Anolis sagrei: one gene and its partners. The protein of the gene in region 2 purifies or fractionates together with the protein of the main gene of each other region. This does not show direct contact. Links are inferred from orthologs where the notes say so. Each region holds a gene or a part of one and is shown on either strand. Other genes may lie near its edges. The genes, in order: FBXO33, CUL1, ARIH1 and CRY1.

Evidence for each region.
Region 1: the proteins of CUL1 (region 2) and FBXO33 purify together in Homo sapiens (affinity purification with mass spectrometry; 4 studies listed by BioGRID and IntAct, with this or other methods). This does not show direct contact. The link is inferred for Anolis sagrei from reciprocal best matches to the Homo sapiens genes CUL1 and FBXO33.
Region 3: the proteins of CUL1 (region 2) and ARIH1 purify together in Homo sapiens (affinity purification with mass spectrometry; 5 studies listed by BioGRID and IntAct, counting the BioPlex papers as one, with this or other methods). This does not show direct contact. The link is inferred for Anolis sagrei from reciprocal best matches to the Homo sapiens genes CUL1 and ARIH1.
Region 4: the proteins of CUL1 (region 2) and CRY1 purify together in Homo sapiens (affinity purification with mass spectrometry; 4 studies listed by BioGRID and IntAct, counting the BioPlex papers as one, with this or other methods). This does not show direct contact. The link is inferred for Anolis sagrei from reciprocal best matches to the Homo sapiens genes CUL1 and CRY1.

What each region holds. Positions count from the first base shown.
Region 1 is NC_090021.1:303,685,193-303,693,135, forward strand, and holds the start of FBXO33 (F-box only protein 33), read right to left. Parts: upstream 3,003-7,943; 5' UTR 3,000-3,002; coding exon 2,263-2,999; intron 1-2,262. UniProt on the Homo sapiens protein: Substrate recognition component of a SCF (SKP1-CUL1-F-box protein) E3 ubiquitin-protein ligase complex which mediates the ubiquitination and subsequent proteasomal degradation of target proteins. Probably recognizes and binds to phosphorylated target proteins.
Region 2 is NC_090026.1:63,456,732-63,464,274, forward strand, and holds the start of CUL1 (cullin-1), read right to left. Parts: upstream 3,001-7,543; 5' UTR 2,894-3,000; intron 1-2,893. UniProt on the Homo sapiens protein: Core component of multiple cullin-RING-based SCF (SKP1-CUL1-F-box protein) E3 ubiquitin-protein ligase complexes, which mediate the ubiquitination of proteins involved in cell cycle progression, signal transduction and transcription.
Region 3 is NC_090029.1:26,571,606-26,578,663, reverse strand, and holds the start of ARIH1 (E3 ubiquitin-protein ligase ARIH1), read right to left. Parts: upstream 3,014-7,058; 5' UTR 2,716-3,013; coding exon 2,314-2,715; intron 1-2,313. UniProt on the Homo sapiens protein: E3 ubiquitin-protein ligase, which catalyzes ubiquitination of target proteins together with ubiquitin-conjugating enzyme E2 UBE2L3.
Region 4 is NC_090025.1:169,420,681-169,427,726, reverse strand, and holds the start of CRY1 (cryptochrome-1), read left to right. Parts: upstream 1-4,044; 5' UTR 4,045-4,475; coding exon 4,476-4,633; intron 4,634-7,046.

The DNA of each region.
Region 1 (7,943 bases), on a different chromosome or scaffold from region 2:
AACGAACATTATATTGTATTGTTGAAGGCTTTCATGGCTGGAACCACTGGGTTGTTGTAGGTTTTTTCGGGCTATATGGCCATGTTCTAAAAGGCATTTTTTCTCCTGACACATCGCCTGCATCTATGGCAGGCATCCTCAGAGGCAGTGAGGATGCTTGCCATAGATGCAGGCAAAACGTCAGGAGAAAAAAAATGCCTTTAGACCTGACGTTTCGCCTGCATCTATGGCAAGCATCCTCAGAGGTAGTGAGGATGCTTGCCATAGATGCAGGCGAAAGGTCAGGAGAAAAAATGCCTTTAGACCTGACGTTTCGCCTGTATTTATGGCAAGCATCCTCAGAGGCAGTGAGGATGCTTGGCATAGATGCAGGCGAAACGTCAGGAGAAAAAATGCCTTTAGACCTGACATTTTGCCTGCATCTATGGCAAGCATCCTCACTACCTCTGAGGATGCTTGGCATAGATGCAGGCGAAACGTCAGGAGAAAAAAATGCCTTTAGACCTGACATTTCGCCTGCATCTATGGCAAGCATCTTCAGAGGTAGCGAGGATGCTTGCCATAGATGCAGGCGAAACATCAGGAGAAAAAAACGCCTTTAGACCTGACATTTCACCTGCATCTATGGCAAGCATCCTCAGAGGCAGTGAGGATGCTTGCCATAGATGCAGGCGAAACGTCAGGAGAAAAAAATGCCTTTAGACCTGACATTTCGCCTGCATCTATGGAAAGCATCTTCAGAGGTAGCGAGGATGCTTGCCATAGATGCAGGCGAAACATCAGGAGAAAAAAACGCCTTTAGACCTGACATTTCACCTGCATCTATGGCAAGCATCCTCAGAGGCAGTGAGGATGCTTGCCATAGATGCAGGCGAAACATCAGGAGAAAAAAACGCCTTTAGACCTGACATTTCACCTGCATCTATGGCAAGCATTCTCACTACCTCTGAGGATGCTTGCCATAGATGCAGGCGAAACGTCAGGAGAAAAAAAAATGCCTTTAGACCTGACATTTCGCCTGCATCTATGGCAAGCATCCTCAGAGGTAGTGAGGATGCTTGCCATAGATGCAGGCGAAACGTCAGGAGAAAAAATGCCTTTAGAACATGGCCCGAAAAAACCTACAACAACCCAGCGAACATTACATTTTTATTTATATAGAAGATGCTGTTGGGCTTGGCCTCATGTAAGCCACCTTGAGTCCCCATTGGGGAGATGGTGGCAGGGTATTAAATAAAGTTGTTTATTATTATATTATTATTATTATTATTACCAAGGCAGAAACATCTCCAGCTCATCCCCTGTTTGGGTATCAGCCAGCACGTCAACGACTTAAATCAAGACATAGTTTTCTTAGATCTACAGAGACACTCGCTGGAACACCTCAGGAAGTGAGAGTCCAAAAGTGGCAGGCTCAAACCCAGAACCTCAATCCATGGGTGATACCAGATGAGAGACTCCCCCCTGGAAGGTGCTGAACAGACTGCGCTCTGGCACCACGAGATGCAGAGCCAATCTTAAGAAATGTGGCTACAGGGTGGAATCCTCGGCATGCGAGTGCGGAGAAGAACAAACCACTGACCACCTGCTGCAATGCACCCTGAGCCCTGCCACATGCACAATGGAGGACCTTCTTGCGGCAACACCAGAGGCACTCCAAGTGGCCAGATACTGGTCAAAAGACATTTACCCAACTACCAAGTTTGCAAAATCTGTGTTTTTTGGGGGTTTTTTTTAATCTGTGTGTTTGTTTTGCTCTGTTAGAAATGTAATACAATGGTATGGTTGCTGATAACACGATAAATATAAATATATTATTATTAGGGGCGAAAGACGGGCCTCCCCCGAAGAGCTCGGGCTGGTCCAGGGTCCAGAGTGGAGAGACACTCTGAGGAAGGAAGAAGCACAGTTTGCAATGACAGTGTGGAATGGTTGCAGCTTCAGACCACTTGTAATGGGGGTTGTAGTTTTACAAAAGTGGGGCCAAGCTGCATAGAGGAGGCTAGGCCTGGGTCAAGTTGGGGGATGCAAGTGTTTTGGAGTTCAACTCCCACCATGCCGAACAGCCTCAGGCCCTTTCCTTTTCCCCCTCAGCCGCTTAAGCGGCTGAGGGGGAAAAGGAAGGGGCCTGAGGCTGTTCGGCATGGTGGGAGTTGAACTCCAAAACACCCGCAGGCCTCAACTTTACCCAGGCTTGGGCCTAGTCAAAACAACAGCCCTCGGGATGCCGTAGCCGTGGAAGCGCGTGAACCGAGGCCTCACCTGTTGTTGCGGACGCTGCTCAAGACGCAGAGTACGAGCTCCAAGTAGGTCCGGAGCAGCTCCAGCCAGCGAGGGCAGAGCGGCGCTTCCCCGCCGCCTCCTCCTCCTCCTTCGGGGCCTGAGGCGGGGACCACTCCCGCGGCGGAGTCGGCATCCGCTTCGAGGCCTTCCTCGGGCCCCCCTCCTGCTCCTCCTCCTCCGGTGGGGTAGTTGTCCGCGGCGAACTGGACGCGGAGCTCCCTGACGAACCAGCCGCACTTGCGCATGAGGAAGTCGAGTCGCGGGCGCTCGGCGGGGCAGACGCGGAGGCTGAGGCGCAGCCGGGGCCACAAGGCCGGGTAGAAGAGGCACTCGCGCCAGTGCGAGCAAGCGGCCGAGGCCCGGAGCCGGTCCGGCGCGGCCAGGAAGGAGAAGATGTGCACCACCAGCTCGCTGGGCAAGGAGCCCGCGCCCACCGGGGAAGACATCATGGTGGTGGCCCGAGCGGGAGGAGCCGCCGCGGGGGGAGCCACCGGCCGCCGCCGCCGCCGCCCCGAGCCCGGCCCCGGCCTCCCCTCAGGCTCCTGCGACAAAAACAACAACATCAATGACAAGGCGCCCAGGGAGGAGGAGGAGGAGGAGGGAGGAGAGAGGAGGAGGAGGGACCGGGCTCGGATGCCTGCCTGGCCGAGCCAACCAACGCGCCCTGCCGCGGGGGGAGACGGGCGGAGGGAGGGAAGGAGGGAGGGACGTACCATTGGGGCGGGAGGAGGAAGCGGAAGGCACCAACGCACAGGAAGGGAGGGAAGAGAAAGAGGGAAGGAGGAAGGAGCCAAACAGGAGGGAGGGAAAAGGAGTGCAGGGCAGCATTCTCCGCAGTATGATTAGTCTATTCATTTATACCAGGCTTGGACAAACTTGGGCCCTTCCAGTCTTTTGGACTTCAACTCCCACCGGTTGTTGGGAATTGTGGGAGTTGAAGTCCAAAACACTTCGAGGGCCCAAGTTTGCCCATGCCTGATTTATATACTGCTTTTATTTATTTACTAGCTTGGGGACCCAGCAGTGCCTGGGTTATTTAAGAAAGTGGGTCATGGGGGCTCTGTGTGCCAAGTTTGGTCTGTATTGGTCATTGGATCAGGGTTGCAGTGGTCTCTGGAAGTGATTGAAGGTACTCCCAAGTCCCATCATCCACAGTTCGGCCTCCTCCAAACTACACCAGGATGTAGAGTGGGTCGTGGGGGGCTATGTGTGTCAAGTTTGGTCTTTATCGGTTATTGGATTTTTTTGTTGTTGTTGTGTCAGGAGTATCCTGTTGTGAGAGAATTGGCCGTCTGCAAGGACGTTGCCCAGGGGACACCCGGATGATTTTGATGTTTTATCATCCTTGTGGAAGGCTTCTCTCATGTCCCCACATGAGGAGTTGGAGCTGATAGAGGGAGCTCATCCGCCCCTCCCCAGATTCGAACCTGCGACCTGTCGGTCTTCAGTCCTGCTGGCACAGGGCTTTAACCCACTGTGCCACTGGGGGCTCCAGGTTATTGGATTAGGTTCACAGTACTCTCAGGAAGTGAGTGATGGTACTGCAAATACCATCATCTGTGGTCTGTCCTGCCCAGGTTGTAAAGTGGGCCATTGGGCCTCTGTGTGCCAAGTTTGGTTCTGATCTGTCATTGGTGTGGGTCACAGTGCTGTAAAGAAGTGAGTTAAAGTACTGCAAGCCCCGTCATTCATGGTCCATCCTCCCTCAAACTGCACCAGGATTTAAAGTGGGTCATGGGAGGTCTGTGTGCCAAGTTTGGTCTTGTTCTGTTGTTGTTGGGGGCCACTGTGGTATGTGGGAACCAAAGCATTTGAAAGTACTACAAATCCCATCATCCATTGCCCATCCTCCCCCAAACTTCACCAGGACATAAAGGGGGTCATGGGGGTTATGTGTGCCAAGTTTGGTTCAGGTCTGTCATTCGTGGGGGTCATGGCGGCTTGCAGAAGTGGCAGCTAATCAGAAAGCACACAAACATACATACAGACAACCATTCTCTTATTATATATATAGATTTAAAACATTTATATTCCACTCTTCTCACCCCGCAGGGGACTCAGGGCGGAGCACAACATGTACACGCAAACATTAAATGCCAGGACATAAAATCATAAATATATACAAACATTAAAATAACTTATATCCACATTAAAAGTTGCTTAAAACTATCTCAGGACACCATTTTGCCTCATTGCACTGCCCCATGGCCAGGTCTTCACCATCCTTCTGAAGGGCAGGAGGAGGGGGCTAACCTAATATTGCCAGGAAGGGAGATCCATAACCGGGGGGCAATCACTGAGAAGGCACTGTCTCTCGTCCCTACCAAACCCGGCTGTGATAGTGGCGGGACCGAGAGCAGGGACTCCCCAGAAGATCTTAGTTTATGCAGTGGTTTGTAAAGGGAGATGCATTTGGACCGGTAAACAGGGCCGGGGCCGTTTAGGGCTTTATAGGCCAAAGGCAGCACTTTGAATTGTGCCCGGTAGCAAACAGGCAGCCAGTGGAGCTGACGTAACATGGGAGTTGTGTGCTCCCTGTATGCCGCCCCAGTTATTAACCTAGCTGCCTCTCATTGGACTATTGGAAGCTTCCAAACTGTCTTCAAAGGCAACCCCACGTAGAGCGCATTGCAGTAGTCTATCCTGGATATCTGTCTCAATGAGACTCAAAGCGAGCCTCCTTTATCTGGAATCCAGGATTGTCAATATTATCATTCTATTGAGTTATATGCTGCTTTTTTCTCTCTTAATGAGACTGGGGGCCCTTCCACACAGCCCTATATCCCAGAATATCAAGGCAGAAAACCCCACATTATATGAGCGTGGACTCAGATAACCCAGTTCAAAGCAGATATTGTAAGATTTTCTGCCTTGATATTCTGGGTTATAGGGCTATGTGGAAGGGCCCTCAAAGTGAGCCTCGATCCGCAATCCAGAATTGTCTGCATTATTATCATTGACACAAAAACACAGTATGTCACAGCAAACGAGAGATATATGCTGGATTTCCTATCACAAGATCATAAGTCTAACACTTCCCAAGCATCTAGAACTGTGTGATGTGTTTTTGGATGAGGTACACAGATCAAGTAAGGTGGCAGATCGTGATTTTGTCAATGTTTATTGTTTTCAAATGCCTGCTGAGATCTTTTGGCACAGCATCCAGTGTGCCGATGACCACTGGGACCACCTGTACTGGTTTATGCCAGAGCCTTTGCAGTTCGATTTTGAGGTCTTGATAATGGCTGAGTTTTTCCTGTTGTTTTTCAATGTGACTGTCACCTGGTATGGCGACATTAATAATCCAAACTTTTTTCTTTTCCACAATCGTGATATCTGGTGTATTGCTTTCCAAAACTTTGTCCGTGTGGATTTGAAAGTCCCACAGTATTTTTGCGTGTTCATTTTCCGCTACCTTTGCAGATTTATGATCCCACCAATTTTTTACTGCTGGCAGGTGATACTTGTGACATAAGTTCCAGTTAATCATTTGGGACACAGAGTTCTGCCAATCACCAGTGGACCACCTTTACTGGCTTGTCCCAGAGTCTTTGGAATCCAGGATTGTCCACATTATTATTATTGACACAAAAGCACAGTATGTCACAGCTTATTATTATTATTATTATTATTATGACTTATATGCCGTTTTTTTTCTCTTAAAGAGACTCAACATGAGCATCCTTAATCTGGAATTCTCAATTGACTATATTATTATTATTATTATTATTATACTGATTTATATGCTGTTTTTACTCTCTTAAAGAGTCTCAAAATGAGCATCCTTTATCTGGAATTCTCAATTGACTATATTATTATTATACTGATTTATATGCTGCTTTTTCTCTCTTAAAACGTCTCAAAATGAGCATCCTTTATCCAGATTCCAGGATTGTCCACATTATTATAATTCAGTTCATGTATATGCTGCTTTTTCTCTCTTAACGAGATTCAAATTGAGCATCCAGGGTTGTTTACAACTACATCATCATCAGTGACTGGATAGTAATAATAGCTCAATGCTATGCTACCCCGGGAGTTATAATTTTACAAGGTCTTTAGCCCTCTCTGCTAAATACAGCTGGGGCCTCATCAAACTACAAATTCCAGGATTTCCATGATGGAACCATGGCAGTTGGAGTGGAGCCAAACCGCCTTAATCCTACAATGTAGATGCACCCCTGGTTTTCATGCATACAATTATATATTTAAAATATGGTGTATATCATTGTCTTCAAACTATGTCTATGTGAAACACAAATTAATGTTTTCTTTAGACTTGGGTCTCATCTCTAACTCGTAATATGTATGCAAATATTAAAAAAAAATCCCCCCTTTTTCTGAAAAAGTCTGAAATCCCAAACACTTCTGGCTCCCCAGCATTTCGAATAAAGAGGACTGTATAGGAGGAATGTACCAAGGCGTCCTCGGCCGAAGGGGGAGCCGGGAAGGGCTGCTTTTATGACTCAGCATCTAGAAGGGCGGTGAGGCTGACGCCACCTAATTGATGGCGAGGCGCTCGCCCTTCGGAGGACTGTACCATCCTTCTCCGGAGGCGGGGGGGGGGGGGAGACTTCTTGGCTTCGTCCCAAGAGTACAGACGCTGGAAGGCGGCCAAGGATGCTGCAACTTTCCCTAGTCCTCAAATCACCCCGAGCGAGGAGGACCAGGTTGCTGGAACGCTTGCCTCTGGAGCCAGAAAGCATCGCAAATAGCACACCAATGCACGATGCATCTCTCGTATTTGTACCTGCAGAAATGAGTATTAATTGGGTTGCTGTAAGTCTGAAAGCCTTCGCCAATACATTGAGTATTACAGAGGACCAAATACTCCCTATCAGTACAAGCAGGGAATTATTATTGTTAATAATAATAATAATAATAATTTTCCCTGTTTGAGACAGGAGATAATACTTTCTTCCAGCAGAAGTGGATATTATTTATTTACAAAGGGACTAGAGCAGCTTACAAGATATATATACATACAATATTATATATTATATATTATTATATTGTACTATATTGTACTATACAATTATATTGTGACATTATTAGTAATATTATAATTATATAATATAATTACATTATAATGATAGTTTATCCTGTTAGAGACCTGAGATAACAGACCAAATAGAAGCAGATATTATTGTTACTATTTCCCTTTGGGAGACAGGAGATAGCAGATCAAATACTCTCTTCCAGCAGAAGTGGGAATAACAATTTCGTTTTCAGAGATAGGAGACCAAATATTCTCAGCAGAACTGGATACCATCATCATAATTTATTTCTACTGCTGGAGACAAGAAATAATGGACCAAATACTAAAGGCAAAGGTAAAGGTTTCCCCTTGATATTAAGTCTAGTCGTGTCTGACTCTGGACATGGTGGTGCTCATCTCCATTTTTAAGCCAAAGAGCTGGCATTGTCCATAGACACCTCCAAGATCATGTGGCCAGCATGGCTGCATGGGAGATAGGAGATGGCAGATCAAATACTCTCTTCCAGCAGAAGTGGGAATAACAGGTTTTTTTGAGATAGGACATAGGAGACCAAATACTCTCAGCAGAATTGGATATCATCATCATCATCATCATCATCATCATCATATATTTCACTGTTGGAGACAGGAAATAATGGACCAAATACTCTGCCACCTGAAG
Region 2 (7,543 bases):
GAAGCGCCCACGGAATCCAGTTCAAAGCAGACAATATGGATGTTATATGGCAGTGTAGAAGGGGCCACAGTTATAGGATCAATTTCCTTGAGGTCATACCAGTGGAGAACCCAGGCCTCTTCCAGACAGATGTATAAAACCCCACATTATCTGCTTTGATATTCTGGGTTATATGGCTGTATGGAAGGGTCCTGGGTTATGTGAGTCCACACTGCCACATAACCCAGTTTAAAGCAGATATTGGGGGATTTTCTCCTTTGATATTCTGGGTTATACGGCTGGGTAGATGGGCCCTGGGTTATGTGAGTCCACACTGCCATATACCCCAGTTCAAAGCAGATATTGGGGGATTTTCAGCCTTGATATTCTGGGTTATACGGCTGGGTAGATGGGCCCTGTGTTATGTGAGTCCACACTGCCATATAACCTAATTTAAAGCAGATATTGGGGGATTTTCATCCTTGATATTCTGGGTTATATGGCTGTGTGTAAGGGTCCCCGGGGTCCTGGGTTATCTAAGTCCACACTGCCACATAACCGAGTTTAAAGCAGATATTGGGAGATTTTTGCTTTGGTATTTTGGGTTATATGGCTGGATGGATGGGCCCTGGGTTATCTGAGTACACACTGCCATATAACCCAGTTCAAAGCAGATATTGGGGGATTTTCAATCTTGATATTTTGGGTTATATGGCTGGATGGATGGGCCCTGGGTTATGCGAGTCCACACTGCCATATAACCCAGTTTAAAGCAGATATTGGGGGATTTTTGCTTTGGTATTTTGGGTTATATGGCTGTGTGGAAGGGTCCCCAGGGTCCTGGGTCATCTAAGTCCACACTGCCACATAACCCAGTTCAAAGCAGATATTGGGGGATTTTCAATCTTGATATTTTGGGTTATATGGCTGGATGGATGGGCCCTGGGTTATCTAAGTTCACACTACCACATAACCCAGTTTAAAGCAGATATTGAGGGATTTTCTCCTTTGATATTTTGGGTTATACGGCTGGTTGGATGGGCCCTGGGTTATGTGAGTCAACAGTGCCATATAACCCAGTTCAAAGCAGATATTGGGGAATTTTCAACCTTGATATTTTCGGTTATATGGCTGTGTGGAAGGGTCCCCAGGGCCCTGGGTTATCTAAATCCACACTGCCATATAACCCAGTTCAAAGCAGATGTTGGGAGATTTTCTGCTTTGATATTTTGGGTTATACAGCTGGGTAGATGGGCCCTGGGTTATGTGAATCAACACTGCCATATAACCCAGTTCAAAGCAGATATTTGGGGATTTTCTGCCTTGATATTCTGGGTTATACGGCTGGCTGGATGGGCCCTGGGTTATGTGAGTCAACACTGCCATATAACCCAGTTTAAAGCAGATATTGGGGGATTTTCAGCCTTGATATTCTGGGTTATACGGATGGTTGGATAGGCCCTGGGTTATGTGAGTCCACACTGCCATATAACCCAGTTCAAAGCAAATATTGGGAGATTTCCTGCCTTGATATTTTTGGTTATATGGCTGTGTGGAAGGGTCCCCTGGGCGATCTGAATCCACACTGTCATACAACCCAGTTCAAAGAAGATATTGGGGGATTTCCTGCCTGCATGTTTTGGGTTATATGGCTGTGTGGAAGGGTGCCCTGGGCTATCTGAATCCACATTGCCACATAACCCAGTTCAAAAAAGATATTGGGGGATTTTCTGCCTTGATATTTTGGGTTATATGGCTATGTGGAAGTGTCCCCTGGGCTATCTGAATCCACACTGCCATATAACCCAGTTCAAAGAAGATACTGGGGGATTTCCTGCCTTGATATTCTGGGTTATACGGCTGGCTGGCTGGGCCCTGGGTTATGCGAATCAACACTGCCAGTCCAAAGCAGATACTGGGGGATTTTCAGCCTTGGTATTTTGGTTTATATGGCTTTGTGGAAGGGTCCCCAGGATCCTGGGTTATCTAAGTCCACACTGCCACATAACCCAGTTTAAAGCAGATATTGGGGAATTTTCTGCTTTGATATTTTGGGTTATATGGCTGGCTGGATGGGCCCTGGGTTATGTGAGTCCACACTGCCATATAACCAAGTTTAAAGCAGATATTTGGGGATTTTCTGCCTTGATATTTTGGGTTATATGGCTGTGTGGAAGGGTCCCCTGGGCTATCTGAATCCACACTGCCATATAACCCTTTTCAAAGAAGATATTGGGGGATTTCCTGCCTTGATATTCTGGGTTATGCGACTGGATGGATGGGTCCTGGGTAATGTGAATCAACACTGCCATATACCCCAGTTCAAAGAAGATACTGGGGGATTTCCTGCCTTGATATTCTGGGATATAGGGCGGGATGGCAACACAGGCCACACTGACACAGAACACTTCTCAGGTCAAGAACATGGGAGGAGGGCTATGTTCACAACGTGTGTGCCATTAGAGGCCCATCACGGTGGAGAAGCAAGGTGAAATAAAATATCCCGTAAACAAAGCCAAGGTGGAAGAGGGTGGCGAAGGGAGGCTGGTTCTAAGCAAGGCCTCAGCCAAAGGGCAGGGCGGGCAAAGGCAGAGAGAAGGAAGTCCGGCTCGCCTTGAAGCCGGCCTGCGCGAGGGAGGGCCTACTGGGGAAGCCCGGCCTGGTCAAGCGGCGAGGCGTCGACCAAATCCCTCCCTCTCCCGCTTTTCCTGGCGTTTTCCCGGCGGCCTTCCGCCTTCCTCTCCCCGCACAGCCCCGCTTGACCCGGTTTGGCCTCGCTGCGCCACAGCCCGGGCCCAGGCCTGCCTCCCGCGTCGCCCGTCCCTCGCTCCCCGTATTGGAGAGCAGCCTCTTTGCCCTTTTCCCTCAGGCCGGGCCTCGTTTTCCCAGGCGGAGAAGGCGAAAGGCTACTCACGCAACGTCCCGCAGACTCAAGTCATCCAGGGAGGCCGCGGCAGCCTCGGCCATCCACACGGGGAAGCCCGCCCCTTCCGGATCCGCCGCGTCACTCACTCCCTCGCCGCCTTGGCGCGGCTTCCGGTCGCCTTCGCTGGGAGCAAACAACATTGGAGAGGGGGGGGGGGGGGGAGAGAGAGAGAGAGAGAGGTGCGCGCGCAATAAGCTTGGCTCCTCCTCCTCCTCCCAGTCACTGCAAGCCCAGGCTCTGCTGTATATTTGTGTATTTACTAGCTGTACCCGGCCAGGCGTTGCTGTGGCCCATTGTGGAGAAATTTATTTGTCGTGTCAGGTCAACCAGTCAATTATATTACATTTTATAATGTAATATATTACAAAGCAAACAAACAAAAATACAAAATCTGCAAGCTTGGTAGTTGATTAAATGTCCTTTGATCAGTATCTGGCCACTTGGAGTGCTTCTGGTGTTGCTGCAAGAAGGTCCTCCATTGTGCATGTGGCAGAGCTCAGGAAAAAATAGACCCCTGTCTGATCCCACAGCAAACTGGCTTCAGAAAAGGCAAAAGCTGCACATCGCAAGTGCTCAACCTGACTCAGCACATAGAAGATGGCTTTGAAAAGCAGCAGATCACAGGAGCTGTCTTCATAGACCTGTCAGCAGCCTATGATACTGTGAACCACCGCCTCCTCCTGAGAAAAATGTATAATATCACAAAGGACTACCACCTCACCCGCCTCATAGGAAACCTGCTACAAAACAGGAGCTTCTTTGTTGAGTTCCAGGGCCAGAGAAGCAGATGGCGGAAACAGAAGAACAGCCTGCCTCAGGGGAGCGTGCTTGCTCCATCCATGTTCAACATCTACACAAATGACCAGCCACTGCCAGAAGGGACAGAGAGTTTCATCTATGCTGATGATCGTGCCATCACTGCTCAAGCAGGGAGCTTTGAGATGGTAGAACAGAAGCTTTCTGAAGCTCTAGGTGCCCTTACTGCCTACTACAGGGAAAACCAGCTGATCCCTAATCCATCTAAAACACAGACATGTGCCTTTCATCTCAAGAACAGAGAAGCACCCCAAGCTCTGAAGATTATTATTATTTATTATTATTATTATTAACTTTATTTGTACCCCGCTAGCATCTCCTAAGGGATTTGATGGGGCTTACACAGGCCGAAGCCCCAAAAATACAATAAAATGATACAATACATAAAGCAAATTAAAACAGTTAAGCAAGAAAACAATAACAGTAACAATACAACGGGACACAATTTAAAACTGGGCCGGCCAGGGTAGGGGTACATGGTTAAAAATGCTGATGTGGCAGGAGGAATGTAGGATTATAAAGTAAGGACAGTGTACAGTGTGCAGTGATCTGGTTCTACTAAAGTGCTTCAAGGACTTGGTGCTCTGAGGATCACCTGGGAAGGAATCCCACTGGAGCATTGCAACGCACCCAAATACCTGGGAGTCACTCTGGACTGTGCTCTTACCTACAAGAAGCATTGCTTGAACATCAAGCAAAAAGTGGGTGCTGGAAACAATATCATACAAAAGCTGACTGGCACAACCTGGGGATCACAACCAGATACAGTGAAGACATCTGCCCTTGCGCTGTGCTACTCTGCTGCTGAGTATGCATGCCCAGTGTGGAACACATCTCACCACACTAAAACAGTGGATGTGGCTCTGAATGAGACATGCTGCATTATCACGGGGTGTCTGCACCCTACACCACTGGAGAAATTACACTGCTTAGCTGGTATTGCACCACCTGACATCCGCTGGGAAATAGCAGCCAATAGTGAAAGGACCAAGGCAGAGACATCTCCAGCTCATCCCCTGTTTGGGTATCAGCCAGCACGTAAACGACTTAAATCTAGACATAGTTTTCTAAGATCTACAGAGACACTCGCTGGAACACCTCAGCAAGCGAGAGTCCAAAAGTGGCAGGCTCAAACCCAGAACCTCAACCAATGGCTGATACAAATGAGAGACTCCACCCTGGGAACACAGAGGACTGGGCAACTTGGAAGGCGCTGAACAGACTGCGCTCTGGCACCACGAGATGCAGAGCCAACCTTCAGACATGGGGCTACAAAGTGGAATCCTCCACAAGCGAATGTGGAGAGGAGCAAACCACTGACCACCTGCTGCAATACAACCTGAGCCCTGCCACATGCACAATGGAGGACCTCCTTGCAGCAACACCAGAAGCACTCCAAGTGGCCAGCTACTGGTCAAAGGACATTTAATTAACTACCAAACTCACAAATTTTGTATTATGTCTGTTTGTTTGCTTTGTTCTGTTAGAAATGTAATATAATTGACTGGCTGCCCTGACACGAAATAAAAATTTTAAAGCTGAGAAAGACAAATATCATCACATGACAGAATGAGCCATTTTGCCCATCTCTATCCAGCTTAGAAAGCATCAGAAATGATAATGCTTTGCAACCCCTTTTAAACGCCAAGATATCTCTCCACTTGAAGCCTACGTCATGTGCTGTTTCTTAAGTGGGTAGCTCAGCAGTATTTAATGAATATGTTGAAGTGGTCTATCTTTCCCAGATTAGTTCAAAGAAGATGGATACCAAGAAACCTACTCACTCTTGATTTCTGGGGGAATACTTTCAGTCATTCAAGAAAATTCAAACACTTTTGAAAGCAAGTCCTATGTTTGGTTCACTATCCATAAGATCACAAATAGTATTTATAGGCTAATCATGATTAGTCGAGAGCATTCTCATATGACTGGATGCAATCAGTTTGAAAAAGGACTACAACATGTAGAATTCCCCAGTCAGCATGGCTAATCAGCATGGTTGGGGGATGCTTGGAGTTGTAGATAGGACGCAGTTTATTTCTGGGCAGATATTTATTTATTTATTTACTGTGCTTATAGACCGCTGTTCTCAGCCCTGGGGCGACTCACGGCGGTGTACAACATGTAAAATAAGGTGCGATTTACAACATAGGCTAACATCAACTAGCAATATCAAAAACATCATCAAACAACAACATCAATATCAATAATACAATTACAACAAGTCATTCGCGGCGTCTCATCGTTGAACCACAATCCAAATATCGTTTTCCGTGTTCCGTTCCTATCGTCATTGCCAGTTATTGCAGCACTTATTCAAACGCCTTCTCGAACAACCACGTCTTTAGTCTCTTGCGGAATGTCATAAGGGAGGGTGCCAGTCTGATGTCCACAGGAAGGGTGTTCCACAGCCGAGGGGCCACCACCGAGAAGGCCCTGTCTCTCGTCCCCGCCAGGCGTGCCTGTGAGGCAGGCGGGATCGAGAGAAGGGCCTCCCCGGACAATCTCAAAGTCCTCGTGGACTCATAGGCCGAGATGCGGTCAGACAGGTATTTTGGGCCGAAACCGTTTAGGGCTCTGTAGGCCAACACCAGCACCATGAATGGGGCCCGGTAGCAGATTGGCAGCCAGTGGAGCTGGTACAACAAGGGCGTTGTATGCTCCCTGCGTCTCGCTCCTGTTAGTAACATGCCTGCCGCGCGCTGGACCAGCTGGAGCTTCCGGGCCGTCTTCAAGGGCAGCCCCACGTAGAGAGTGTTGCAGTAGTCAAGGCGGGATGTGACCAGAGTGTGTACTACCATGGCCAAGTCAGACTTCCCGAGGTACGGGCGCAGCTGGCGCACGAGCCTGAGCTGTGCAAATGCTCCCCTGGTCACCGCTGAGACCTGGGGCTCCAGATATGGTTAGGACTGCAACAGTGAGGTGTATGCACTCTTTTCTGAGAGTCAGCTACACTGAATAAAATGAACACCATGCCTTGTGAAACACAGTGAAGTTTACTTCCAAGTTGTCATGCATGAACTCTTTTCTGCACAATTGCCCAGAAGTAAGTCTCTCTGGCTGAGTTTATGGAACTGGTCTCAGAGGTGTTGTTGAAATTGTTTTGCTTCTGGGTCACTTTAACATACCACTCAATGCCAGTATCTCAGGAGCAACTCAGGAGTTCATGCTATCTATGACTAACATAGGTTTATCCCAATTCTGAGTGTTTTCATGCTCTAAACAATTTGATGCTATTTTCTGCTTGGAACAAACAGATCTGTGAACAGAGTGACAAATACCTCCCAGTTGTCATTGACATACCATTTCCTGGTCAGGGCTAGTATCACAACTACAAGATACCCTTCTAGGGGTAGAGTCAGAGGCGGTCCTAGGTAATTTTCAATGGTAAGCAAACAGTATTTTGGCGCCCCCCCCCCCAACCAATCACTGATATAGATAGATAGATAGATAGATAGATAGATAGATAGAGATATAGAGATATATAGATATATATTGGCATAGACAAATTTTGGCCCTCCAGGTATTTTGGACTTCCTACTGGTTGTTTGGAATTGTGGGAGTTGAAGTCCAAAACACATGGAGGGCCAAAGTTGGTCCATGCCATATGCTAGCCATCCCCTGCCACGCGTTGCTATGATCCAGTCTGGTCATCTTGAAAAGAAAGTAATGAGAAAGTTGGTTTCTTATGTAATTTCTTGATGCTTGTGGGTAAACAGTATTTCTTGTTGTTTCTTTGTCAGTGTTAATGTAGTGATTGTCTGGTTTGCCTACTTTGGAACATAAAACATATCATTGTCCTTCTTTAGGGATCCCTTTCAC
Region 3 (7,058 bases), on a different chromosome or scaffold from region 2:
TACAAGGAAAGCAAAGAGATGCGGGAACAGGAGGAGAAAAGAGGAGAGTAGGAGAGAAAGAAACAGAAGGAGGTGAGGGAGAGGTTCAAACAGGCACCAAGTGTTTTGGACTACAACTCCCACAATTCCAATCAGTCTGGTCTAAGAGTGGGATATAAATAATTAGATTTCTATTATTTATAGGAAAGAGATGAAGGAAGAGGAGGAGAGGAGGAGAGAAAGAAACAGAAGGTGGTGAGGGAGAGGTTCGAACAGGCACCCAAGTGTTTTGGACTAAAACTCCCACATTTCCAATCAGTCTGGTCTAAGAGTGGGATATAAATAATTAGATTTATATGATTTATAGGAAAGAGATGAAGGAAGAACAGGAGGAAAGAGGAGAGTAGAGAAAGCAAGGGAGGATGGGAGGGAGAAGAAAGGTGTGCCTGGAGGAGGAGGTACCATGTCAACCCTCCTGTTCAAGGAGCTCCACTGGCTGCTGTTTATTTTCCGAGCCCAATCTAAGGTGCAGGTGCTTACCTACAAAGCCCTAAACGGTTTGGGACCATCCTACCTGTGTGACCGCATCTCAGTGTATGAACCCACGCGCTCACTTCATTCATCTGGTGAGGCCCTGCTCGCAATTCCGCCTGCATTGCAGGCGCGTCTGGTGGGGATGCGAGACAGGGCCTTTTCCGTGGTGGCCCCCCAACTCTGGAACACCCTCCCCAAAGATCTTAGACAGGTCCCTACGTTGGCAGTCTTTAGAAAGAACTTGAAGACCTGGCTGTTCCGATGTGCCTTTCCAGAATAGCAATCCTCCAACAAGTCCCAGAAGCACTTTATTAGAAATTAAGATTGCTGGCACACTGCACTTACCCCATTATCCTTACATATCACCTGTCACATCAGCACTTTTGATCTGTACCCAATACTCTGGCCTGGCCCAGTTTTATTGTGTCTTGGTGTATTGTCTTATTGCTTGTTGTTGAATATTGCTTTACTGTTTTTAATTTGCTTTAGGTTGTGTATTGTTATGTTGTGTTTTGAGGCCTTGGCCTTTGTAAGCCGCATCAAGTCCTTCGGGAGATGCTAGCGGGGTACAAATAAAGTTAATAATAATAATTAAAAAATGTGTTTTGGACTACAACTCCCACAATTCTAATCAGACTGGTTCAAGAGTTGGATATAAAGAACTAGAAGGATAGGAAAGAGATACAGAAAGAGGTCGAGAAAAGCGGAGAGTAGAGAAAGCAAGGGAGGGTGGGAGGGAGAAGAAAGGCATGCCTGGAGGAGGCGGAGGTACCAAGTGTTTTGGACTACAACTCCCACAAACCCTATCAATCTGGTTCAAGAGTTGGATATAAAGAATTAGAAGGATAGGAAAGAGATGAAGAAAGAGGAGGAGAAAAGAGGAGAGTAGAGAAAGTGAGGGAAGATGGGAGGGAGAAGAAAGGTGTGCCAGGAGGAGGTACCAAGTGTTTTGGACTACAACTCCCACAACTCTCTGTATGTTTTGATATGGTCAAAATTGACTAATCAATAAAGAATTGTTGAGTGTCACAACTCCCACAATTCCTATCAGTCTGGTTCAAGAGTTGGATATAAAGAATTAGAAGGATAGGAAAGAGATGCAGGAAAAGGAGGAGAGTAGAGAAACCAAGGGAGGGTTTGAGGAAGAAGAAAGGAATGCCTGGAGGAGGAGGAACAAAGTGTTTTGGACTACAACTCCCACAATTCCTATCAGTCTGGTTCAAGAGTTGGATATAAAGAATTAGAAGGATAGGAAAGAGATGCAGGAAAAGGAGAAAAGAAGGGAGTTGAGAAAGCAAGGGAGGGAGAAGAAAGGTGTGCCAGGAGGAGAAGGTACCATGTGTTTTGCACTACAACTCCCACAATTCTCTGTATGTTTTGATATGGTCAAAATTGACTAATCAATAAAGAATTGTTGAGCGTCACAACTCCCACAATTCCTATCAATCTGGTTCAAGAGTTGGATATAAAGAATTAGAAGGATAGGAAAAGAATGCAGAAAGAGGAGAGTTGAGAAAGCAAGGGAGAAGAAAGGCATGCCTGGAGGGGGAGGAACCAAGTGTTTTGGACCACAACTCCCACAATTCCTATCAGTCTGATTCAAGAGTTGGATGGAAAGAATTAGAAGGATAGGAAAGAGATGCAGGAAAAGGTGAAGAGAAAGCAAGGGAGGGAGGGTTGGAGGGAGAAGAAAGGCATGCCTGGAGGAGGAGGAGGCCTCCCTCCTTCCTTCCACCCCTCCATCCCTCCTTCCTTCCCGCCGAGGGAGCGCGCCCCCGCCGCCCGCCCCTGCGCGCGCACCTGGATGACCTCGTTGACCTCCCGGATGCACTCCACCATGTGCTGCAGGATCTGCTCGGCCGTGAGCACCTCGTAGCGGTAGTCCTCCTCCTGGTCGTGGCCTAGTCCCCCTCCGGAGCCGGGCCCGCCCAGGCCGCTGCTTCCCCCGAGGCCTCCTCCTCCTCCGCCGCCGCCTCCCCCTCCTCCGGGCCCGAGGCCTCCCCCGCCGGTCTCTCCGCCGAGTAGGCCGTCCCTCTCTCCGCCCACGCCGGGCTCGACCAGCTCCACCTCGCCCAGGTCCAGGTTGCCGTCGTCGGGGTCGTCGTCGGGGTCGTCGTCGTCGTCGTCCTCCTCAGCGCCGCTGTCCTCGCTGCACTCCTCGTCCTCGTCGAACTCGTAGTTGTAGCCCTCGTCCGAGTCCATGGTGGCGGCGAGAAAGGGGAGGAGGAGGAGGCCGCTGAGGCCTAGGCCGAGGAGGAGGAGCGAAGGCGCCGGGCAGGCCCCGGCTGAGGGACTGACGGGAGGATGGGAGGGAGGGACGCGAGGGAGGGCTGCGGCCTAGCCCGCCTTCCTTCCTGCCTGCCTGCCTGCCTGCCTTCCTTCGGCGGAGCGATTCCCCAAAGCCGCCTCCTCCTCTGCCAGGCGCCGCTGAGCCAACAAAGGGACGCGTCCGGCCCGCTCCGTCACCTCCACGCACGCACGTCAGCGCGGACGGGGACGCAACCCCACGCCGCGTGTGGCGTCACGACGCCGCCGCCGCGCCGAAGGGCGGGAAGGGAACGCAACACGCCCCGCCCCCTTTCGCCTCCTCAAGCGCAGTCCGTCGGCAGCCATCTTGAGTGTGGCACGAAAGGGAACCACCAGCCTGCCTTGCCGCCGCCATCTTGTGGAGCCGGAGGGCGCGCCTTCTTCAACCGACTCTCAGGAAGGGAGTGGCTGCGGCCCACCATCTTGGGTGTGGCACAGCGAAAGGGGATGACATTTATAAATTGGCATGGGGGAAGGGCCAGCCGAGTTGGCTTATTGTATGTATATAGATATATATTGTATGCATATACATATATGTGTGTGTGTGTGTGTATACATATATATTGTATGTATATACAATATTTATTACTTATATATAATATTATTTTATATTATATAATAACATATATATAATATATATAATATATTATATAATACTTATTGTATGTATATAGATGGATGTCCGCCACCTTTGGCTGCAAAGGATGTAGTCAATCTGATTTCGGTGTTGACCGTCTGGTGAAGTCCAGGTGTAAAGCCGTCTTTTAGGTTGTTGGAAGAGAGTATTCGTTATACACAGCGAGTTTTCCTGGCAAAATTCTATCAGCCTGCGTCCCGCTTCATTTTGTTCTCCCAGACCATGCTTGCCTGTGATCCCTGTTGTCATTTGACTTCCCACCTTGGCATTCCAGTCTCCTGTAATGAAAGTAATGTCTCTTTTTGGTGTATTATCCAGTAGGTCCTGCAGATCCTCATAGAACTGATCTACTTCTGCTTCTTCAGCAGCTGTGGTTGGGGCGTATATTTGGATCACTGTGGCGGACATCCATCCAGTCGGTGAAAACAAGACCTGGGGCTGACTGTAGCTCAGATCACGAACTTCTTATTGCTCAATTTAGAACAAAACTAAAGAGATCAGGGAAAATACACAGACCAGTTAGATATGATCTTACTAACATTCTTAGCGAATATACAGTGGAAGTGAAGAACAGATTTGAAGGACTAGATTTAGTAAACAGAGTCCCAGAAGAACTATGGACAGAAGTCCGAGACATTGTTCAGGAGGCGGCAACAAAGTACGTCCCAAAGAAAAAGAAAACAAAGAAGGCAAAATGGTTGTCTGCTGAGACACTGGAAGTAGCCCAAGAAAGGAGGAAAGCAAAAGGAAACAGGGATAAGGGAAGATATGCCCAGTTAAATGCGCAATTCCAGAGGTTAGCCAGAAGAGATAAGGAACTATTTTTAAATAAGCAATGCATGGAAGTGGAAGAAGACAACAGAATAGGAAGGACAATTTCTTTTCCAGAAAATTAGAAACATTGGAGGTAAATTTTAGGCAAAAATTGGTATGATAAGAAACAAAGATGGCAGGGACCTAACAGAAGCTGAAGAGATCAAGAGAAGGTGGCGAGACTATACAGAAGATCTGTATAGGAAGGATAACAATATCGAGGATAGCTTTGACGGTGTGGTGAATGAATTAGAACCAGACATCCTGAGGAGTGAGGTTGAAAGGGCCTTAAGAAGCATTGCTAACAACAAGGCAGCAGGAGACGACGGGATCCCAGCTGAACTGTTTAAAATCTTAAAAGATGATGCTGTCAAGGTGATGCATGCCATATGCCGGCAAATATGGAAAACACAAGAATGGCCATCAGACTGGAAAAAATCAACTTATATCCCCATACCAAAAAAAGGGAAATGCGAAAGACTGCTCAAACTTCCGTACAGTGGCCCTGATCTCTCATGCCAGTAAGGTAATGCTCAAGATCCTGCAAGGAAGACTCCAGCAATACATGGAGCGAGAGTTGCCAGATGTTCAAGCTGGGTTTAGAAAAGGCAGAGGAACGAGAGACCAGATTGCCAATATCCGCTGGATAATGGGGAAAGGCAGGGAGTTTCAGAAAAACATCTACTTCTGCTTCATTGACTATTCTAAAGCCTTTGACTGTGTGGATCATAATAAATTGTGGCAAGTTCTTAGTGGGATGGGCATCCCAAGCCACCTTGTCTCTCTCCTGAGGAATCTGTACAAGGACCAAGTAGCAACAGTCAGAACTGACCACAGAACAACAGACTGGTTCAAGATTGGGAAAGGCGTACGGCAAGGCTGCATCCTCTCACCCAACCTTTTTAACTTGTATGCAGAACACATCATGCGATGTGCGGGGCTTGATGAATGCAAGGCTGGGGTGAAAATTGCTGGAAGAAACATTAACAACCTCAGATATGCAGATGACACCACTCTGATGGCCGAAAGCGAGGAGGAGTTGAGGAGCCTTCTAATCGAGGTGAAAGAAGAAAGCGCAAAAGCCGGGTTGCAGCTAAACATCAAAAAAACCAAGATTATGGCAACAAGAATGATTGACAACTGGAAAATAGAGGGAGAAAATGTGGAGGCCGTGACAGACTTTCCATTTCTAGGCGCAAAGATTACTGCAGATGCAGACTGTGGCCAGGAAATCAGAAGACGCTTACTTCTTGGGAGGAGAGCAATGTCCAGTCTCGATAACATAGTAAAGAGTAGAGACATCAGACTGGCAACAAAGATCCGCCTAGTCAAAGCCATGGTATTCCCTGTAGTCACCTACGGATGTGAGAGCTGGACCTTAGGGAAGGCTGAGCGAAGGAAGATCGATGCTTTTGAGCTGTGGTGTTGGAGGAAAGTGCTGAGAGTGCCTTGGACTGCGAGAAGATCCAACCAGTCCATCCTCCAGGAAATAAAGCCCGACTGCTCACTGGAGGGAAGGATACTAGAGACAAAGTTGAAGTACTTTGGCCACATCATGAGGAGACAGCAAAGCCTGGAGAAGACAATGATGCTGGGGAAAGTGGAAGGCAAAAGGAAGAGGGGCCCACCAAGGGCAAGATGGATGGATGGCATCCTTGAAGTGACTGGACTGACCTTGAAGGAGCTGGGGGTGGTGACGGCCAACAGGGAGCTCTGGCGTGGGCTGGTCCATGAGATCACGAAGAGTCGGAGACGACTGAACGAATGAACAACAACATATGGTATACTGCATATTTATATTTATATATAGACATATATGAAAAACTATATAATATACCGCCTCTCTCAGCCCGAAGGCAATTCGGGTTGGCCTAGTTTCTCATGTGCGTATATATGTTTGTGTATATAGATATATATACTTGAGCACACAACATATACACAACACATATATCACATATATACACATATATAAATATGCAAAATACTATACATAACTATATAAACAGTCAACATATATGCATATACACACAACACATAGCTTTTCATATATATGTCTATATAAGTGCAGTATTCTATATATATATAGAAGCACGATATTTGTGTTATGTGTATATGTATGTATATGTTTTGTGTATATATACATACCTATACCACACATAAACACACAACACATCGTTTTTAATATATATGTCTATATATAGACATTTATATTTATATCTATGTCTATATATAAATATACAGTATACTATACATACCTATATATGCACACAACATATATATATATATGCATACACAACACCAAACATAGTTATTCATATATGTCTATATATAAATATAAATATGCAGTATACCATACATATATATATATACACATAATCTATGCATATATATGTTGTATATAACACACACCTCATATATACACACAAACACATTATTTTTCATATATATGTCTATATAGAGACATATATAGACATAAATATGCAGTGCACTATATATGTTGTGTATGTGTATATGTGTGTGTGTTGTGTATAGTATATATGTGTGTTTATGTATAATATATTGCATATTTATATTTATATAAAGCTATATGTATGAAAAACTATATATATATATTTCTATTTTTGTGAGTGTTGCAATTATTTATTTGATGCTTTCTCTCTCTCTATATATATATATGTATATATATATATGCTCACACACACACATAGTATGTGAGTCCCAAAAGTTCACATACATATGGGAAATTGTAGCAAAATGTCAATTTACAAAATATTGATTGCAGTCTTTT
Region 4 (7,046 bases), on a different chromosome or scaffold from region 2:
TATCTATCTATCTATCTATCTAATCTATCTATCTAATCTATCTATCTAATCTATTTAATCTATCTATCTAATCTATCTATCTATCTAATCTATCAGTCAGTCAATCTATCTATCTAATCTATCTATCTAATCTATCTATCTATCTAATCTATCTGTCTTATCTATCTAATCTATCTATCTAATCTATCTATCTAATCTATCTATCTAATCTATCTATCTATCTATAGAACTCAAAAACCACTGGACGAATTGACATCAAATTTGGACACAAGACACCTTACAATCCAATGTATCTCCTTCACTCAAAAAAAAATGATTTTGTTGTTTCTGGGATTTATAGTTCACCTACAATCAAAGAGCATTCTGAACCCCACCAACGATGGAACTGAACCAAACTTGGCATACAGTTCTCCCATGACCAACAGAAAATACTGGAAGGGTTTGGTGGGCAGTGTCCTTTGGTTTTGGAGTTGTAGTTCACCTACATCCAGAGAGCACTGTGGACTCAAACAATGATGGACCTGGACCAAACTCTACACAAATACTCAGTATGCCCAAATGTGAACACTGGTGGAGTTTGGGGGAAATAGAATCTTGACATTTGGGAGTTGTAGTTGCTGGGATTTACAGTTCACCTACAATCAAAGAGCATTCTGAACACCACCAATTGGGCCAAACCTCCCACACAGAACCCCCATGACCACCAGAGTGGGCCACAGCAAGGCATGGCAGGAGACGGCTAGTCTTATATAAATCAACATGTAATGTTTGTTTGTGGGATTAACATAACTCAAAAACCACTGGACGAATTGACACGAAATTTGGACACAAGACACCTAATAGTCCAACGAGTGTCCATGACCCATAAACACACACACACAAAACCCCAGTGGAACAGACTTAAATACCCCCAAATACACCCTATATACATATACACATACACTCATGCACATGCACACATTCATACAAACATAGATATACATATACACATGCACATATACATGCACACATACATATATACATATACACATGCATACACATACATATCCACATACATATATACACACAAATATGCATATAGACAAGCACACACATGTACACAATATGCATGTACACATATACACACACAAATATATATACACACACATATATACACCTGTAACTTTTTCAGGCTTTATTATTATTATTATTATTATTATTAGACAATGCAAATGGCTAAGGAGTTGAACTGGTACACATTAATTATTATAGTTTTAATTGATTTTTATATGGATTTTTATTATGTGATATTAGATGTTTTTAATTGATATGTATGTATGTATGTTTATGGCATCTAATTGTTGCCAATCTGTATGCCGCCCTGAGTTGCCTTTGGGCTGAAAAAATTCTATAAATAAATAAATATTTTGTATTACATTATATTATTATCAATATTAGATGTAAATACAATATATTATAAATAAAGTGTATTATTATCAGCATAGCATAATATTATATATAAATAGTGTATCATTTTTATTATACATAATAGTGTATAAGTAATATAAAGTGTATTATTATTTGCCTATTATACATAATAAAGTGTATAAATAATATAAACTGTATTATTATTAGCATAGCACAATATTATATATAGTGTATCATTTTATTATGCATAATAAAGTGTATAAATAATATATAGTGTATATTATTATTATTATTATTAGCCAATTAGACATAATAAAGTGCATAAGTAATATAAATGTATTATTAGCATAGCACAATATTATATATAAATAGCGTATCATTTTTATTATACATAATAAAGTATATTAGTAATATAAAGTGTATTATTATTATAAGCCTATTATACATAATAAAGTGTATAAATAATATAAAGTGTATTATTATTAGCATAGCATATTATATATAAATAGTGTATCATTTTTATTATACATAATAAAGTGTATAAATAATATAAAGTGTATTATTATTACCCTATTATACATAATAAAGTGTATAAATAATATAAAGTGTATTATTATTAGCATAGCACAATATTATATATATAGTATATCATTTTTATTATACATAATAGTGTATACATAATATAAAGTGTATTATTATTAGCATAGCACAATATTATATATAAATAGTATATCATTTTGTTATGCATAATAAAGTGTATAAATAATATAAAGTGTATTATTATTAACCAATTATACATAATAAAGTGTATAAATAATATAAAGTGTATTATTATTAGCATAGCATAATATTATATATAGTGTATCATGTTTATTATGCATAATAAAGTGTATAACTAATATATAATGCATATTATTATTAGCCAGTTATAAATAATAAAGTGTATAAATAATATAAAATGTATTATTAGCATAGCACAATATTATATATAAATAGTGTATCATTTTTATTATAATAGAAATGATACATAATAAAGTGTATAAATAATATAAAGACTATTTATATATAATATTGTGCTATGCTAATAATAATACATTTTATCATTTATACACTTTATTATGTATAATAGGCAAATAATAATAGTAATGCACTTTATATTACTTATACACTTTATTATGTATAATAAGAATGATACACTATTTATATATAATATTGTGCTATGCTAATAATAATGTTGTTGTTCATTCGTTCAGTCGTCTCCGACTCTTCGTGACCTCATGGACCAGCCCACGCCAGAGCTCCCTGTCGGCCGTCACCACCCCCAGCTCCTTCAAGGTCAGTCCAGTCACTTCAAGGATGCCATCCATCCATCTTGCCCTTGGTCGGCCCCTCTTCGTTTTGCTTTCCACTTTCCCCAGCATAATTGTCTTCTCTAGGCTTTGCTGTCTCCTCATGATGTGGCCAAAGTACTTCAGCTTTGTCTCTAGTATCCTTCCCTCCAGTGAGCAGCCGGGCTTTATTTCCTGGAGGATGGACTGGTTGGATCTTCTCGCAGTCCAAGGCACTCTCAGCACTTTCCTCCAACACCACAGCTCAAAAGCATCGATCTTTAGCAAGATCCGTCATTATGGTCCACACGTGCTAATAATAATAATACACTTTATATTATTTATACACTACATTATGTATAAAGGTAAAGGTAGTCCCCTGACATTAAGTCCAGTCATGTCTGACTCTGGGGTGTGGTGCTCATCTCCATTTCTAAGCCTGAAGAGCCAGCGTTGTCCGTAGACACCTCCAAGGTCATGTGGCCGGCATGACTGCATGGAGCGCCGTTACCTTCCCGCCGGAGCGATACCTATTGATCTACTCACATTTGCATGTTTTCGAACTGCTAGGTTGGCAGAAGCTAGGGCTGACAGCGGAAGCTCACGCCACTCCCCGGAATCGAACCTGTGACCTTTCGATCAACAAGCTCAGCAGCTCAGTGCTTTAACCCACTGCGCCACCGGGGGCCCTCAATAATGTTATACATTATGTATAACAGGCTAATAATACATTGTATATTATTTATACACTTTATTATGTATAATAGGCTAATAATAATACACTTTATATTACTAATATACTTTATTATGTATAATATAATATTGTGCTATGCTAATAATAATACACTTTATATTATTTATACACTTTATGTATAATAAAATGATATACTATATATAATATTGTGCTATGCTAATATTAACAATAGACTTTATATTATTTATACACTTTATTATGTATAATAGGCTAATAATAATAGACTTTATATTATATATTATTTATACACTTTATTATGTATCATTTCTATTATACATAAGTGTATTATTATTATTATTTGCCTATTATACACAATAAAGTGTATAAATAATATAGTGTATTATTATTAGCATAGCACAATATTGGTATTATATATTACTATATTGTATTATACCATCCTGTACGGCAATCTCATTAGTTACATAGATAAGAAGACCTGCATAACCATCCCTCTCCCTCCACGAGGCAGGAAAAACACATTTCAGAAACGTGAGGCGCCCCCGGTCACGTGGTGCGGGGGTGGCCAATCAGGGGCGAGGAAGGGCGGAGCTTGGCGGCTTCCGTCGTTGGGACGAGTTGCCTCGAGTCACAGGGCGGGCGGCAAGGGAGGAAGGAAGTTGGGTTATTTCCCCTTCATTCTTCTTTCCTCTGAGGGGAAAAAAACGGCTATTTAGAGGGAATTAATTAGGAATAGAGAGTGGAAGAGGAGGAGGAGAGGGAGGGGGCGGCAGTTTGGAAACCCAGGAGGGGCGCTGAGGAAGGAAAACAATCCGAGAGGGATGCGTTTCGCCCCCAACACCGTCGCCGCTGCTTCCACCGCCGCGGCCGCTGCTTCCACGGGATCTTAAAGCGGTTTCTCGTCGCTTCTTGGCCCTCTTCTTCTTCTTCTTCCCCGCTCAGCGGCGGCATGAGCTTGGCTTCGACTTGAGCCACGCTCCTCGGCTGTAACCGTTCTCTTCTCCTGCTTGTGCTGCCTCTCGTCAGTGATGGGGGTGAACGCGGTGCACTGGTTCCGCAAGGGGCTCCGTCTCCATGACAACCCGGCCCTGAGGGAGGTCATCCAAGGAGCCGACAGCGTCCGCTGCGTCTACATCCTCGACCCCTGGTTCGCCGGCTCTTCCAACGTCGGCATCAACCGCTGGAGGTGAGTGGCAGCCCTTCCCTCATCTTTTTACTTTATGTAAGCAAGCCCCCCCCCCCCCGCTTCTAAATCTCCCTTTTCTCCCGGGAGTGTGCGCATGCGCGGCGCCGCCTGGTTATACAACGCTGCTGCAGGTACTATGTAACACTCGGAAGTAGCCTGCTGTTTCCCTCGAAATAGTTTGGGTGTCGTCGTTAGGTCGGTGTGGGTAGTGCAGGACGCATTGGACGCAGTTAAGCTGTATTATATTGGGTCTACACCAGGCATGGGTGGACTTCGGCCCTCCAGATGCTTTGGACTTCAACTCCCACCATTCCTAACAGACTCAGGCCCTTTCCTTTCCCCCCTCAGCCACTTAAGCCCATCAGTACAGCAGTATTGTGTATCACAGGCCTTGGCTAGCTTGCGCCTTCCCTCCAGGTGTTTTGGACTTCAACTCCCACCACAGCCTCAGGCCCTTTCCTCTAAAATTACAACAGCAAAACAGCAGAGAGGAAACAACCAGGCACATCTTAACACCTCTCAACAGAACATTTTCCCAGGCACAGCCAGGCCTTCAAATGCTAATGAAGGTGATCAGCTGAAACATTCACACCTAACTGCAGCGGGGAAGAGCTCCTTGCCCCACCCCAGCCATTCCACAGATATATAAACCCATTGTCCTAATTCCAACAGACCTCACTACCTCTGAGGATGCTTGCCATAGATGCAGGCGAAACGTCAGGAGAAATGCCTCTAGAACATGGCTCTATAGCCCGATAAAACCCACAAGAACCTAGACTTTGTATTCCTAGGCGCAAAGATTACTGCAGATGCAGACTGTGGCCAGGAAATCAGAAAACGCTTACTTCTTGGGAGGAGAGCAATGTCCAGTCTCGATAAAATAGTAAAGAGCAGAGACATCAGACTGGCAACAAAGATCCGCCTAGTCAAAGCCATGGTATTCCCTGTAGTAACCTACGGATGTGTGAGCTGGACGTTAGGGAAGGCTGAGCGAAGGAAGATCGATGCTTTTGAGCTGTGGTGTTGGAGGAAAGTTCTGAGCGTGCCTTGGACTGCGAGAAGATCCAACCAGTCCATCCTCCAGGAAATAAAGCCTGACTGCTCACTGGAGGGAAGGATACTAGAGACAAAGTTGAAGTACTTTGGCCACATCATGAGGAGACAGCAAAGCCTAGAGAAGACAACTATGCTGGGGAAAGTGGAAGGCAAAAGGAAGAGGGGCCGACCAAGGGCAAGATGGATGGATGGCATCCTTGAAGTGACTGGACTGACCTTGAAGGAGCTGGGGGTGGTGACGGCCGACAGGGAGCTCTGGCGTGGGCTGGTCCATGAGGTCACGAAGAGTCGGAGACGACTGAACGAATGAAGAACAACAACACACCAGGCATGGGTGGACTTGGGCCCTCCGGGTGTTTTGGACTTCAACTCCCACCATTCCTAACAGCCTCAGTCCCTTTCCTTCCCCCCCTCAGCCACTTAAAGCCCATCAACACAGCAGTATTGTGTATCACAGGCCTTGGCCAGCTTGGGCCTTCCCTCCAGTTGTTTTGGACTTCAACTCCCACCATTCCTAACCCCCTCGGGCCCTTTCTTTTCCCCCTCAGCCACTTAAGCCCATCAACACAGCAGCATTGTGTATCACAGGCCTGGGCCAGCTTGAGCCTTCCCTTCAGGTGTTTTGGACTTCAACTCCCACCATTCCTAACCGCCTTGGGCCTCCCCCCCCCCCCCCTCAGCTGCTTAAGCTGGCCCAGTCCTAGGATCAGACCCGTAGCCAGGATTTCAATTGGGGGGGGGGGTGAGTCTGAGTGAAAGAGGGTCTACCCTAGCAAACCTTTTGTAAAGGTAAAGGTAGTCCCCTGACATTAAGTCCAGTCATGTCTGACTCTGGGGTGTGGTGCTCATCTCCATTTCTAAGCCGAAGAGCCGGCATTGTCCGTACACACCTCCAAGGACATGTGGCCAGCATGATCACATGGAGCACCATTCATCTTGATATCTTAATATATTTTCATGCCGCTGCTCATGTCAAGGAGTGTACAACAACAAAACATAAGCACACCATACAACTGAGCAGGCCTGTAGCGAGGGGCGGGGGGGGGTTAGGGGTTCAAACCCCTCCCGAAATGTTTCAGATTTTTTTAAAAAAAACTGGTTTACTCATGAATTTTAACTGGTTAACCAAATCCCCATGCTAAGTCTATGAGATGCAAAAAATTAAGAGTCCCTCCAGAACTGCAAGCACTATCTCAGGCAAATACTGACAATTTATTCACACTGTCATTACTTGCAGCAATAGCCGATGTAGTGAAGCAACCAAGTTGGGTATGTGTGTGTTGAATGTTCTCATTAAGGAGGCCAGACTTGGTGGAGGTGGTTGACAGGCGCAGAGCTGCAGGCTATGGAAGGCTGC